Ovis aries: one gene and its partners. The protein of the gene in region 3 purifies or fractionates together with the protein of the main gene of each other region. This does not show direct contact. Links are inferred from orthologs where the notes say so. Each region holds a gene or a part of one and is shown on either strand. Other genes may lie near its edges.

Evidence for each region.
Region 1: the proteins of ACTR3B (region 3) and ARPC2 purify together in Homo sapiens (affinity purification with mass spectrometry; 6 studies listed by BioGRID and IntAct, counting the BioPlex papers as one, with this or other methods). This does not show direct contact. The link is inferred for Ovis aries from reciprocal best matches to the Homo sapiens genes ACTR3B and ARPC2.
Region 2: the proteins of ACTR3B (region 3) and ARPC4 purify together in Homo sapiens (affinity purification with mass spectrometry; 5 studies listed by BioGRID and IntAct, counting the BioPlex papers as one, with this or other methods). This does not show direct contact. The link is inferred for Ovis aries from reciprocal best matches to the Homo sapiens genes ACTR3B and ARPC4.

What each region holds. Positions count from the first base shown.
Region 1 is NC_056055.1:220,286,835-220,291,745, forward strand, and holds part of ARPC2 (actin-related protein 2/3 complex subunit 2), read left to right. Parts: intron 1-2,240; coding exon 2,241-2,367; intron 2,368-4,551; coding exon 4,552-4,652; intron 4,653-4,911. UniProt on the Homo sapiens protein: Actin-binding component of the Arp2/3 complex, a multiprotein complex that mediates actin polymerization upon stimulation by nucleation-promoting factor (NPF).
Region 2 is NC_056072.1:16,887,958-16,892,868, reverse strand, and holds part of ARPC4 (actin-related protein 2/3 complex subunit 4), read left to right. Parts: coding exon 1-61; intron 62-1,244; coding exon 1,245-1,356; intron 1,357-2,653; coding exon 2,654-2,749; intron 2,750-3,715; coding exon 3,716-3,925; 3' UTR 3,926-4,911. UniProt on the Homo sapiens protein: Actin-binding component of the Arp2/3 complex, a multiprotein complex that mediates actin polymerization upon stimulation by nucleation-promoting factor (NPF).
Region 3 is NC_056057.1:116,773,920-116,778,830, forward strand, and holds part of ACTR3B (actin-related protein 3B), read left to right. Parts: intron 1-121; coding exon 122-265; intron 266-3,361; coding exon 3,362-3,535; intron 3,536-4,911. UniProt on the Homo sapiens protein: Plays a role in the organization of the actin cytoskeleton.

The sequences.
Region 1 (4,911 bases), on a different chromosome or scaffold from region 3:
GTATATATTTGGGTTTATTCTGAGCTTCTGTGGTCAGTTGTGCTTTGATGGAAGAAAGAAATGATATTGTGATGCCGCAGAGAGAAAAAAGAGAAGAAAAAAGAGGCAGTATTGCTGATACATATGTAACAAAGACTCTAAGGCAAAAAGCTGCTGGGTTGGTGGGTTTACTGCCTTTTAAGTGTTGTGTAAGAGAGAAAAACCAAGGAGAAACAAAGGCAGGAGATTGCCTGAATTACAGCCCCGAGTCAGTATATTGTTAACCAACTCTGAAATGTATCACTCTCCATGTACAAAACTGAGAAATGCTGCCAAGTCACCACAGGTTTATAGATACTCCATCTGGTTGTGAACGCCACATGTACCAGTGAACTGGAGCGTTCAAGAAACTTATGAAGCACAAGAAAGTGCTGGCAGGCAGTTTTTATCTGTTCTTCCCGCCGGGGACTAAAAGAGGGAGACTGATAGAAGTTAGAGAACGTCCCAACCCAGTTGCAGAATGAAAGGTATTTTCTAGAGAAAGGCAATTTCAGCAGCGTTGCTTTAAGGATTTTCGTTTTGAATTATCTTGGATCCTTTCCTCCCTCTTCAGATGTTTTTCCTTTGGGGATCAAAGTTCAGAGGGGAGCTCACCTAACCCAGTGATGTTATTTCCCACCAACCTTTGGAAGCTACACAAGGAGTTCAGAAGGCAGGGGGTGAAACAGACGAGCTCCCCGACTGGGCATTAGACCTCCTCAGGTGGTATCCTTCCTTCACATATCTGCTACTGAGGGCTTGCCCGTCCGTGTGTATCCTCCTGCTGCGGGTGAAGTGCAGTCCCTGCTCCTTCCTTTACAGTGTGCTGACACTTTCAGCTAGGGACGTGGTACTTTCTTTCTCATTCTTGTGCTAGACAGTCTCTTTGAAGGGCAGAGGACTAGATACAGCAATGAATAAAAGAATCCTTGACTTGAGGAGCTTAAAACCTGGTAGGGAAGCCAGATGCATTAATGACTAGTGAAATATTACAGTAGAGGTTTGCAGAAAAGCCATGGGAACTCCCACAGGAGAGCAACTAGCTGTGCCCAGGCTGTTGGAGAGAGCGTTATATCTGGGCAGCAGTAGAAAGAAAGTTGTATACTGAAGGGCTGTATAACTTGCTCTCAGTACTCTCAGAAAACTCAGGGACCTTGGAAAACTTTTGGTTCCATCCTTCTGTCCTTCAGAGAGTTTAAACCGTAGGTTTTACTGGCATTGCTGGAAAGTCCAGTCCTGTTATTACAGATCTGGGTTGAAATGGGGATGCCTCGTATCACTTACCTGTTCATACAGGAATGTATGAGTTAGGAAAGCTTGAGATGTGGAGGTTAGGACGGGGAAGAATGGCTTGGTTTTGACATCCTTAGGCATTTTTCTGTAGTTTGCTGAGGGTGGATAGATTTTGTCAAGGGTGAGCTCTTACTTGAGCTCCACTTGACATCTTAATCAAATTTCCTGAAAAATATAACCTCCTTTCATATTAAATCAAAAGAAACTAATAAACTGTCATCCTTATCCTGAACGTAATCTGGTTCTCTGAGTGCTTTGCAATTTGTTGTCTATTTAGCCTTAGAAGTAGTTTTATCATGCATATTTTTCCAAAACAAAAGAAGAGGATTAACAGTGCTTTTCTTTGCTCTTTGAAAATCGGACTTGTTAAGTACTTTGTGATCTCTCCTCTTTGAATCTGAAGTACACTGATGGCAGCCAACACTGGTAATATTTCACGTTGTGCTGTGCTGAGTCGCTCAGTCATGTCTGACCCTCTGCGACCCCATGGACTGTACCCCACCGGGCTCCTCTGTCCATGGGGCTTCTCCAGGCAAGAATACTGGAGTGGGTTGCCATGACCTCCTCCAGGGGAATCTTCCCAACCCAGGGACTGAACCCAGGTCTCCCGCATTGCTGGTGGATTCTTTACCGTCTGAGCCACCAGGGAAGCCCAAGAATACTGGAGTGGGTAGCCTATCCGTTCTCCAGGGGATCTTCCTGAGCCTGGAATCGAACCAGGGTCTCCTGCATTGCAGGTGGATTCTTTACCAGCTGAGCTACCAGGGAAGACCAGTACTTCATATTAGGTGTCATTTATTTTTAGCCTCTGCCGGTCAGAGGGCTCAGAGGTCACATCCACAGGGCAAACCCCAGAGCATAGGTTGCTGCTCTTGCTGTTCATCTCACACCAGATTCTCTTCTGGTTGCTTTTTGCTTCATCCTGGCAGGAGTTCAAAGAAGGACGCAGAGCCAGCCACACAGCCCCACAGGTCCTCTTCAGCCACAGGGAACCTCCCCTAGAGCTGAAAGATACCGATGCCGCCGTGGGTGACAACATCGGCTACATTACCTTCGGTGAGCTGGGCGGGGTTGCTGCATTTGCACACCTTGGTGGGTTCATACTGCAGTTGAAATGGGGCTGAGTGGCAAAAGCAGGTGTGCCAGAGTGTTCCTGTTGCCGGTGCCATGACTGTAGGAGGCATGTCGTGGGGCACTAATACAAGTCATGTGCTGTTTGTATTTTTATACAGTAATCATTTTCCTTTTTTCCCTGTTTTATCTAAATCCTCAGGGAAAAAAAGGATAGCCCCTGGAGTGAAGTAGGAGGGGTTAGGGCCACATAAGCCCTGCTAAGCAGCTAGTTGGGGTTCTCTGTCCTTTGGCGCCTATTGGGTTTTTTTGCTCATTAGACCAGAGCTCCAGCCGTGATTTACTTACCCACTTTCCCTCTGGAAAGATTGACATCCACCCCTCTCACAGTTTGCTTCAGCCTAGTGAGCTGGTTCATTGGTAACAGCTGACAGTTTAGAATCGCAGCTTACACACACACTGACCCTGACAGCACTAAGATGTCCCCTTTTCTGGAGTTCTGCAAGCCACCATAGTGCTGAAGACGCATCCGTTTATCGGAAATAAGCAGGCTGATTAACCAGGTTTCCTTAAGTCTAGTCTACATGCTTTTTTTTTTTTTTTTTTTTTTGGCACGTTACTCTCTCTGAGGTTGGGACAGCCTGTTAACAGTTTAATTAGCAATGTCTCTCTTTGTGGTACATAAACTGATGGTGAACTTACAGTCATTAGCATCTCAGAACCCCTGCAGTATAGTTACCTCCTGGCCTGGTGCTCTTTTCTCTTGTCTCTCTTTGTTTCTCTTTGTCTCTCTTTGTGGTACGTAAACTGATGGTGAACTTACAGTCATTAGCAGAACCTCTGCAGTATAGTTACCTCCTGGCCTGGTGCTCTCTTCTCTTGTCTCTCTTTGTTTCTCTTTGTCTCTCTTTGTGGTACATAAACTGATGGTGAACTTACAGTCATTAGCATCTCAGAACCCCTGCAGTGCAGTTACCCCCCCTGGCCTGGTGCTCTCTTCTCTTGTCTCTCTTTGTGGTACGTAAACTGATGGTGAACTTACAGTCATTAGCATCTCAGAGCCCCTGCAGTGCAGTTACCCCCTGGCCTGGTGCTCTCTTCTCTTGTCTCTCTTGGTCTCTCTTTGTGGTACGTAAACTGATGGTGAACTTACAGTCATTAGCATCGCAGAGCCCCTGCAGTGCGGTTACCCCCTGGCCTGGTGCTCTCTCCTCTTGTCTCTCTTGGTCTCTCTTTGTGGTACGTAAACTGATGGTGAACTTACAGTCATTAGCATCGCAGAGCCCCTGCAGTGCGGTTACCCCCTGGCCTGGTGCTCTCTCCTCTTGTCTCTCTTGGTCTCTCTTTGTGGTACGTAAACTGATGGTGAACTTACAGTCATCAGCAGAGCCCCTGCAGTGCGGTTACCCCCTGGCCTGGTGCTCTCTTCTCTTGAGGGCAGGTGGACCCACAGCGGTCCCACCCTTTCCTAGGTGGCATTTCTTTTCGTTTCAACAAAACCTGATGCTCAAGAACTTTGCTGATGCCGAGATCACTGAGTAGGATAGATGCAGAAGATAGAGGGGATTCCCAGAAGCCAGAGGGAGAGGCGTGCAGGTCTGCCCAGGTGTGAAACTGAGTGACTGACTGCACAGGACTTCATGGGGTCAGGCAGTGGCAAGGGCTTTTCTCAGCCCCCAGCCAAAGCAACTCATCCTGCCATTCCTCCTCAGGAATGCTCAGGTTCTTGTCCCTTCCTGTTTGGTGTTCACCACAGACTACATGATCCTCTATGGATCTAGTTTCTCTGAAAGCTTACTCTGCTTCGGCACCAAGGTCCTGCAACAGGCAGGCTTTGTTCTCTAATCCCCATTGCTCCAGAGTCCACCCAGGTAGCCAGTTGTGTCGTTTTCTAGAGAGACTTCTGAGAGGCAGAAGCTAGTAGATTTCACAGTGCACGGCCGGAGAATCCAGACCCGGAATGAACGCCAGGACCAAGCCCTTTGCCGAGGGAGCCCTGGTTTTTGGCCATGGTCTCCTCCATTTACACTTACTGGCAGAAAACCCTAATGAAACAAGTGGACGGTCCCAAAGCAGGGCAAGATGGGAGCTGACAGTAGGCTGCTGGTCTTTCCACCCTTTGGCATTGGTGTAATTAGACCTTGACACCTTGTCTGTGCCCCCACTCAGTGCTGTTCCCTCGCCATACCAACGCCAGTGCTCGAGACAACACCATCAACCTGATCCACACGTTCCGGGACTACCTGCACTACCACATCAAGTGCTCGAAGGTGAGTGAGAGCAGCCTCGGCACCGGCGCTCTGCGCCATTCTCTCCACCAGAGCTCATGGCATAAAGTCCTCTCTGGTATAGGCTATTGCTAGGAACTCTACAGAGATGGTTCTAGAGGCTTTGAGTCATGGCCTTTCTCCATCTCTCTCACTCCATAGCAGAGAGGTGAATATATGCTTGCTTGCACAGCCCTATGTCAGCCCCAGGGTGGATGTTCCCAGACCTTTCTGATAATTTCTGCTACTTAGAGCAAAGCTG
Region 2 (4,911 bases), on a different chromosome or scaffold from region 3:
GCTTGGAGAATTTCTCCTCCCAGGTCGTGGAACGACACAACAAGCCGGAAGTAGAAGTCAGGTATGGGAGGAAAGGGGGTAGGGGGTGATGGATGTAGCACCCAGAGAGGACTGTTATCGGAGAGGGCCGTGAACTTCCATCCTGGAGTTGTCAGAACGACTACAATTCACATTTTTTGTCTTGCTGCCAGGTAAATGATGGTTCCCAATTTGAAGTTCAGAAAATTGGGTCTCAGTGGGTTGACAGGACAAAACTCAGGGGAGAAGCTACTCTGGAGCCAAGATTTGCTTGACACAAGTTGTGACTTTTCAACATAGGGCCATTTGGGAAATATCTCCCAAGGAGGTAGTGAACCCTCTAGCAATTTAAGGAGAAGACTTGAGAACTGAATTATCTGAGATGCCATCTCTGCTCTTCTCAAATTTGAAGATCAAGGATCCCTCCCCTCAAAAAACAAATAAACAACTGGACTCCCATCCCCTACTACAAATATTCTATACTTTGGATTATTTTATCTGATTTTTGTTTTGTAAAAAAGTTTTTCTTTTTCCCCTTTGATGTTTAATCTGGTACATATACAACTGAGATAAGGATTGTTACCACAGTAAATTGATACGATTTGAATGTAAGAAAGCTGACATCATGTTAAAATGTGCCCTGTTATGCTACTTAATGTATATGGTTTCCACTAGGCATTTTAAAGGATAATAGCTCACAGACACCAACAATACAATTAACTACCGTCTGAGGGATCCAGAGGCATCAAAATGGGAACTGAGTTGAGAGGGGTCATAATTTTGATTATTAAAGGAGGCCAAACTGTTTGATTTTAGCTTGGCCTTATCTCTAAGGCAGGCTCTCATTCCCTAAACAGTATATGGGTTTCCCTATAGTTATGAAAATAGGAGTTGTCATTTGTAAAGCTCCTACAATGTGCCAGCTCACTGTTACACACTTGACCCTTGTTGATCTGTTTCCAAATGAGGAAGTTGAAATTCCAACAGGGTAACTTGCCCAATGGAAGTAACAAAGGAGGCTGAATTTCAGAACCTTTCACCCTGACTCCAGAGCCTGTGCTCTTTCTGCTGGAGAACATGCTCTCTGGCCCCCATCTTGGAGCACCCCTGCTTGTGAGTCTCATTCCTTGGACTCTGTGGTCCCAGATTGTGATTCTAGAACCTGCCGTGGAGCCTCCCTGACCATTCTGTTCTTTTATAGTACCTCTGTCATTTTGTGTTCTCAGGAGTAGCAAAGAGCTCCTGCTACAACCCGTGACCATCAGCAGGAATGAAAAGGAAAAGGTTCTGATTGAAGGTTCCATCAACTCTGTCAGGGTCAGCATTGCTGTGAAACAGGTGAGCTCACCCCAGATCCCCTGCCTCCCCGGGGAGGCCAGGGATCCCCTATGTAAGAGGTCAACATGCCAGATTCAGGGTGCAAAGAAACCCAGGTTCTCTTTCCAGGAAATGATTTGCTAAACCTACCAGATCAGTAGAATAAAGGGAAATCAGCCTTCTCTCCTAGGCTTGCTCTGGATTAGACAGCAGGTAATGTAGCAGCCAGGGCTGTGGGCCAGTTTGGTGTCAGGTCATAAAACTCTTCCTAATGAGTGAAGAATAAGTTCAGTTCAGACAAACAAGTAGTAATGGTATCAGTTTGATAGCCATAAACTCCAAAAGTGAGATTTAGGGTAAGAAAATGAAGTGTAGTTTCATGTTTCTTCATTGTTTCACAAATGTCTGACATTCCCACTACCCCCATCGTTTCTTCCATGTTTATGGACCACTTGGCTACTTCTTTACTTAATATTTTCTTTCAATTAACTTTTTTTTTTTTTACTTAAATTTACCATAAAAAGAAAAACAATATGCCTTGCCAAATTGAGGACAACACTAAAATGCAAGCACATTGAAAATAAAGCAGAGTTAAGACTTTTGCCTCCAGAAAGCTCTATCCCTAGTGCCTGCTCTTTGTTAAAAGGGGAGATGAATAAATATTGGGGGCTGTTAAGGTCTTGCCAGCCCGTAATACAAAATTCTTTCATCAGAAATGTTGAGAGTTCATTAGGGGAAAACTTTGGGAATTGTTTGATGTTCATTGTTACTAAAGTGGAGACCATCTAAGGTTATCTGATATACTTCATAGTGTGTATCACTGACTGGAAGATGTAGCATTAGTGAAATGAGACTGGAAAGGGCAGATTTGAATCTAGATATGGATTCTGGAAGGATTGGATAAAAGATTGGGGCTTGCCAGGACTTCCCTAGTGGTTCAGTGGTTAAGATTCTGGGCTTCTACTACAGGGGACTTGGGTTTGATCCCTGGTCTGGGAACTAAGATCCTGCATGCCACACGATGTAGCCAAAATGTGTTTTGAAGTTAAAAAAAAATAAGATTTGGGTTTGTCAGAGTTACCTTTCTGGAATGGGTAAAGGCAAGATCATGATAATGCCCCATTAAGTTGGAGGGCTCTCATGTAGTGGACCTTCCTTTTAGCTGGCAACCAGTTATTTGTGATTCAGACTTCAATACCCAACCCCAGTGTCTCCAGCGAGCATAGGGGAATTTGGGCTCCGAAGACCAGGCTACAAATTTCTGTTGGCCTTTAGGGAATGACTTTAGGGAAACACATTTCTTCTTTGTTCTTACCAGGCTGATGAAATCGAGAAGATTCTGTGTCACAAGTTCATGCGCTTCATGATGATGCGAGCAGAGAACTTCTTTATCCTCCGAAGGAAACCAGTGGAGGTGTGTGATCCATGTGTTGGTAATACCCAGAATTCCACTACTGAGTCCACTGTCAGTGGCCTGGGATTGTTTCTAAAACTGGGATTGCTTGCTCCCCACGCTGTAGGGCACCCACAGCCTGAGTTGAGAGTTGGTCTTCATTTCGGCTAGAGTAAGAATAAGGGGAATCAGCTTATAGGAGGTTGAGTCTGTCTCAGCTGTGGAAAAGGCCAAAAAAGATGAGGTGCATTGCTGACCTTCCCAGAGCCTATAGTGTAGTGGCAGAAAGGGCATGATGAATCAGAATTCTAAACTTTGCCACCAATTGAGTCAGTCTCTCAAGGCCACAGTTGATATGGGGTCACTTGTTGCCTGACTTTGTACTTGAGCTCTCACTACAGATTCTCTGCCTGCTCAACTCCCTGCCGGTCAGTGACTAAGCAACTACCATGCAGAGCAGCGGACACCATTGTCAGACACATTAGTTGTTGGCCAAACTCACCCTCATCCTGAGCTAAAATCTCTCCTGTTCCTAGATCTAACCTCCAGGGCCACTAAGAATAAATAAAATTGCTCTTCTACACACAGTCTGAAAAAGTGAAAAACCATAGTTAAAAACCTCAATACCTCCTTCTCCCACAGCATCTTCATTTCTCTCTGGACTAAATGTTCCTGTTGTTTGATGAGATTCTTCTATAACAAGATTTAAAGTCCTTTCACTCTCCCTTGATTCATTCTGAACACAACTGTTTATACCACAGAGAGTCTGCCAGACAAAATTCTCAATTGGGATCAGTTGATCCACCTGTTAGTTCCTTGGAACCAGCATACACACCGCCACCAGAGCAGATGGGCTGCTGCCTGAAGGGTGTGTCACTTGGGAGAAGGTCAGCTGGAAGCATGTGGCTGAGTGACATAGAGGGCTGGCCAGTGAAGTTCCCCAGGATGTTGATTCTCTCTCTCCTCTCCACTGTCTTTCTTCCCTAGGGGTATGACATCAGCTTTCTGATCACCAACTTCCACACAGAGCAGATGTATAAGCACAAGTTGGTGGACTTTGTGATCCACTTCATGGAGGAAATTGACAAAGAAATTAGTGAGATGAAGCTGTCTGTCAATGCCCGTGCACGCATTGTGGCTGAGGAGTTCCTAAAAAATGTAAGTGGAGTGGCCTTCTTGGTTTCCTTTCAGAAGTAGAAAGACCTAAATAAAGGTTGTGCTGAGAACTTAGCATCTGTTGGGGAAATGGTGCCAACTGTGCGTAAATATTTTCTGAGGCCTCTAGGAACTCTGGTGGGCAGCAGGTCAGCCCCATGCCTTGGTGTGGGAAGGGCCTGAGGTTCATCTTGGAGAGCTATAGAGCATCTCCAGGGCCCTGGGCAGTGCCTCTCTTAGTCGTTCACTTCTACGTCTCAGAATATATAGAGTCCTTCCGTGTATCTAGTTCCATTCCCGAGTGAGTCACGTTAAAGCCACATGTGAATTTTCTGGGAATATAGGGCGGTTAATCATAGTGTAATTCCACTTCTCAAACAGAGTCGAATAGTTTCCTTCAGCGTCTGTTTCTCAGGCTTAAAGTCACGATTTCTTGACTCTGTTTTCCATCATTTTCATGGCTTAAGTCCTACAGATCCCTCTTCAGTTGTTTGTGCCTTCCTGACAGAAAGCACTGCCGCCCTCTGAGGAGGACAGATTGTTTACATTGATGAACTGATGACACAGTTCTTTTTTAGACATTCACAGCGTGCCGCCTTTTTTTTTTTCTTCTTTTTCCAAACAGTCTTTGGTTTGTTGACATGTTCCACTCAGAATTGACTATGATCCCTAGATGGTAGAATTAGTGTTTACTCCTACCAGTGCATACAGGTCCAGCCCAGAAGGAGCTCAGGCTCCTAAAAATGGAAATTAAACCCACTTCCCCTGGGCTTTAATTATACTGAGGGCAGCCAGTGTATAGAGTAGCTGTGCTGTGCACCCAGGGGAGCACGTTTGTTCAGGTCACAGAGATGGTGGAGTCAGACCACCTTTGCATCCGGGCCCACTGCCTCCTCAGGCATCTTACAGAACTTCTTGACTAAGCCTCAAGTTTCCTCGACCCTGAAATGAGACCGTTAATTAATATATACCTTTTCAGTGTAGTTGAACATTAAATGAGGAAATGTGTATAAAGCATATCACTTGGT
Region 3 (4,911 bases):
GTGTGTGTGGCCGTGGGAACCGCCGTGGTGCTGGGCGGGCAGGGCTGACTCGGCGCTGGGAGCCTGTGCCTCCTGGACTTGCTCACAGGCCTCCCCCTTGTCTTTTTCCCTCCTTCCCTAGGCAGAAGGCTACGTGATTGGAAGCTGCATCAAGCACATCCCCATCGCAGGGCGGGACATCACCTATTTCATCCAGCAGCTGCTACGGGAGCGGGAGGCGGGGATACCCCCGGAGCAGTCGCTGGAGACCGCCAAAGCCATCAAGGTAGAGACAGGTGGGGGCAGGCTGTCTGGGGGAGAGAGAAATGGTGTTTGGAGGGTTCCCTTGCTGCCACTGCCCCCAGCCCCGCCCCTGCCCCCAGCTTCATCTTCCTTCCTCCTCCCTCCCTGAGAGAACGTGTGTCTCCAACCATTTATGATTGTGGGGGTTCCTGCTGTTAATGAGGGCAGCTTGGTGGCCGGGGTTGAGCCCCAGACCCAGGCCAGCATCATTTCAAGGAGCCTAATTAGGTTAGAACTTCAGGTAGCTGAGCGTGTCTGCTTCCCCGCCCTCCAAGTTCATCTGTAGCTTAGAGAGCAGCAGCAGTGACGTCAGGAGTCTAGTGAAGTCAGCCAGCATTCAGACGCATTTCCAGCACCTGTAGAGTGTGGTTCTGAGCCCTGTGAATTACAGCTCAGAGTGATGCTGTTCCAGGGTGGGGTCATCGATGGCGCCCCTCCACCCCGCCCCCTGTCGTTTCTAGACTGTAATGACCGTGCTGGAAAGGTTTCTGAGGGCCTTAAAGATCAAATCAGTAAGATGAGAAGAAAAACGTCCTACCGAGCCTTTCTAAAAGTGCCCGCTGGACCGGGCTCATCAGTCTGGTCTTTGTGTTTCTCTGTATGTAGCAGCTGATAGACCCTTTTTAAAGGAGCTTTCTTTCCAGGTTGAAAATCAGGACAAATTACTGAAAATCAGGACAAATTACTGTTTTTTATTATAGCCAAAATGCAAGAGGGTCTTCATAACACAAGGGCGATTATCATACAGATGAAGAGCAAGGGTTTTGCTTATAGAGAAGCATTTAAGTGCGGGGGCGACAGGGGGCCCCGGGCGTCTCCCCTTCTCATAGAGCACACAGCATCTGAACCTCAGGGAGTTCAGCCTCCCCTGCCTGTCCCCCACTAAGCACCCAGTAGGGGGCTTGAAGGAAAGGGAGCAAGGGGGCACTCCCTTGTTTCCCCGCCCTCGGTGAGCTGAGCACAGGTGTTCTGGGGCTGGGGCTCCTGCAAGGAGGGGCCCCTGCTGCCCTGGGTGTCCAAGACAGGAGCTTCCAGGGAGGGGGCGCCTCAGAGCCAAACTTGCAGCCCTGGCCCAACCCCAGATCCGCCCTCTCCCCCTGGGAAGCTCACGGAAGTGTCCTTTTAGACTGAAACCTCCCCCATTTGCCCTCCTTTCCCCGCCTTTCTTCTTGTCCCCTCCCCGCCGCCTCTGTCACGCATGTGACCGGCCCTCGGGGTGGATGTGGGGGAGCAGAGCCCTGAGTGGTGACTAGGGGGCTGCTTTCCGGGTCCCTGTGGTGGTGGCCTTTCCTTTGTCGTGGGCCTTCTGGAGCCTAGTGCTGACCCTGACCCTGAATCTGGTGTGTTCAGGCCGCACAGTGTGTGGCTTAGCTGTGGCCGAGAGACCCTTGTCCCTCCAGCCAGCTGCCTGGCCTGTGGTTAGTCCTCCGCTCACTCCTCCCTGAGACCGGGGCAGGGGTGTCCTGGAAAGGTGGTGCGGCCCCTGCACCCCACAGGGGTGGTCTCCGCAGGCCTGAGGCTGGTGGGCCTGGCACTCACGGGCCTGGCAGCGGGGGTCCAGAGCTTAGTGCAGACACGGCTGTGCCCCGTGCAGCGTCACTGAGGTGTTCGTGCCGTCACTTGGAGCAGTTGAGGTGCCCTGAGAAGCGGAGCAGGCCTCCAGGGGTCCAGAGCTTAGTGCAGACACGGCCGTGCCCCGTGCAGCGTCACTGAGGTGTTCGTGCTGTCACTTGGAGCAGTTGAGGTGCCCTGAGAAGCGGAGCAGGCCTCCAGGGGTCCAGAGCTTAGTGCAGACACGGCCGTGCCCCGTGCAGCGTCACTGAGGTGTTCGTGCCGTCGCTTGGAGCAGTTGAGGTGCCCTGAGAAGCGGAGCAGGCCTCCAGGGGTCCAGAGCTTAGTGCAGACACGGTCGTGCCCCGTGCAGCGTCACTGAGGTGTTCGTGCCGTCACTTGGAGCAGCTGCAGTGCCCTGAGAAGCTGAGCAGGCCTCCAGGGCAGCGGCATGTTTCTGCAGTCTGCAGACTGGCAGTCGCGCGGACTCACTGTGATATTAACGAGCACAGTGTTGTGGAGCTCATAATTTGACAGAGTGTATCAAGGATGGCATTAGGGTCTGTTTCAGGGATTCTAGGACACTTCAAACTTACTATCGTGAAGCCACCTTCAGAGGCCCTAGAATGTGCGGTGAGCATGAGCTCTGCGCCTGGTGGTGAACACAGCCCACGTTGCCCACAGGGAGCTTTATTTCAGGATCTGGTACCCAAGAGCCACCTGCTGCTCTGCTGAGGTCAGCTCTCAGGACAGGTGATTGACCAGAGATCCCCAGGGGAGCACCACCAGACGCCAGGGAGACACTGGGCACATCTCAGGCTGGTGCTGGTGTCCGGGTGAAAACCAGGAGCGGTTCTCAGGCCGCAGTGCGCGGCCGCTCCGTCCTGCCCGTCGGCCTCTTCTTTCATCCGTGGCACCTGGCGCCTTGTAAGGTGCCGTGTGGTCTGCTTGTTCGCCCCGGTCGTTGCTTACTCTCCTGACTGCGCTGGAGTGTGTGCTCCAGTGGGCAGCGGTGTGTGTGTGTTTTGTTGTGAGTCCAGTGTGTCCATGTTGTGGAGTTGGTGGCCCTCCCGTGTCAGACTGCACAGCAGGTTCACGACCCGGGATCAGCCGTGTTCGGCATCCGGGTGAAGTCAGCCGTGCTCAGTGTGGGGCTGCAGCGCAGGTCTGCTGGTCAGGGTGGACGGCTGTGAGTGCCCGGGCAGGTGCCGTGTGGGGCCCACGAGGAATAAGGAGACAGGAGATGGAGACAAGATACTTAGTACAAGATACTTAGTCAGACAGTACTTCAGCTGATCAGCAGCAGAATATGAGGGAAAGGCTAAGATGCGTAGCTGAGCTGCAAAGCAAGCAGGTTCACTCACAGTCCAGAGCAGAGTCATGAAGAGTCTGTGAGGCCTGGCCGCGTCCGCACTGGAGTTGTGATGAGCAGGCAGGACTGGTTTCGGGGTGTCCAGGGCTGGGGGTTACTGGGTCTTGGTCAGAGGCAGACTCTGGTGACGTTGTGTGTGTGTGTGTCTGTCTGCAGGAGAAATACTGCTACATCTGCCCTGATATAGTCAAGGAGTTCGCCAAGTACGACGTGGATCCTCGGAAGTGGATCAAACAGTACACAGGGATCAACGCCATCAACCAGAAGAAGTTCGTCATAGATGTCGGCTACGAAAGGTTCCTGGGCCCTGAGATTTTCTTTCACCCGGAGGTAAAGAGGCGGGCTTTCGGAGAGCGAAGTGTGCGTGTGTGGTGGAGCGATGCTGCCCCCTGGTGTCTGTAGGCAGCAGTCCTCGGGCCGCCTTCCTGTGAGGACCGCCGGGCGCCCGCCCCACCCTCAGCAGCTGTTAGAGCACCCTGTGTGATCACCTCCTTGACTGCTGCCCTCTTTAGACCTGGCTCTCTGTTGAAAAGATAGATAACAAGTGATTAGGAAGACGCTTAATCAGAAGATTAAGAGCAATAGAAGATAGTGGAGATGGAGTTGCTCTCACAGTAACCAGAAAATTGGTTGATCCCAGCAGACCCTCAGTGTGGGTGTAGGAGGGCACGTGACCTTTCCATGCTTTGTGAACGTCCGCCCCAACTCCAGTTTTGAACCCCAGACGGTGGGTCCTGCCGTGTTTCCTGCTGCAAATTAAAGTTAGAGCTCCTGTCTGAGCAGCAGCCTTTCCAGCAGTTAGACGGGCTTTAGGAATTACAGGCCTCGCTGTGTTAACTATAGTCACAGAGTTATTATTAACTCTTGCAGGTACAGTAATGGAGAGACAGCATTTTAAGATGTAATAAAATGGGTTGTATTCGTATTTTGGTTTATTTTTCTAATGCAGTTTGCTTTTGCTAGGTCGGTTACACGCTGCTGCCTGTCTCCAGGTGTGTGTGACCTTTCGTGCAGGGAGATGGCTCACAGTATTGCCTCATCACAATCTTAACCCTCATTCGTGCCTTTTGATATTATAGATTTAAAACAGGCACGAAACTGACCATGGCCAGTGAACAGCTGGAGGGCACCCCGTGTTACCTTCCTGAGTTCACTAAAGGTGTCCTTGATCTTTAAAGCATAGTTCAAATTTTTAAAATTGAATTCTTTTACACTTTACCTTATTTGACTTACAGAACTGAGTCAAAGACTGTTTACGCAGTGACGTGACCTTTACCATAGTTTCATTAAAAAGCCACCCCTTCGAGCCGTCGCCCTTGCGCCTCCGCCAGGCTTCTGGCTCAGGTTTACAGTGTGACTGTTCACTGGCTGTGTTTTCTCTTGTATCCTGGGCTGATTGTTAGATGACATTAATACTCATAAGTGATACACTTGTTCTGTACTCACAGTATTTCCATAACATCACACACGTCACACACATGTGACTTACTGTCTCGGGCAGCAGGATTCCCAGTGTCCCCTGATGCACGGCCGGGCGCTCTTGGCTCCTGTGTGATGTTTTCCCCTCAGTGAGCCCACACGTGTCACCGGGACGAGTCACCGTCAGTCACCCCATGCACACTCACTTGGGTTTGTTTGACATACCAATATTTGACGTGGTCATTGCAGCCTGACGGTTTTAAAAGTTACAATACATTCTGTATTTA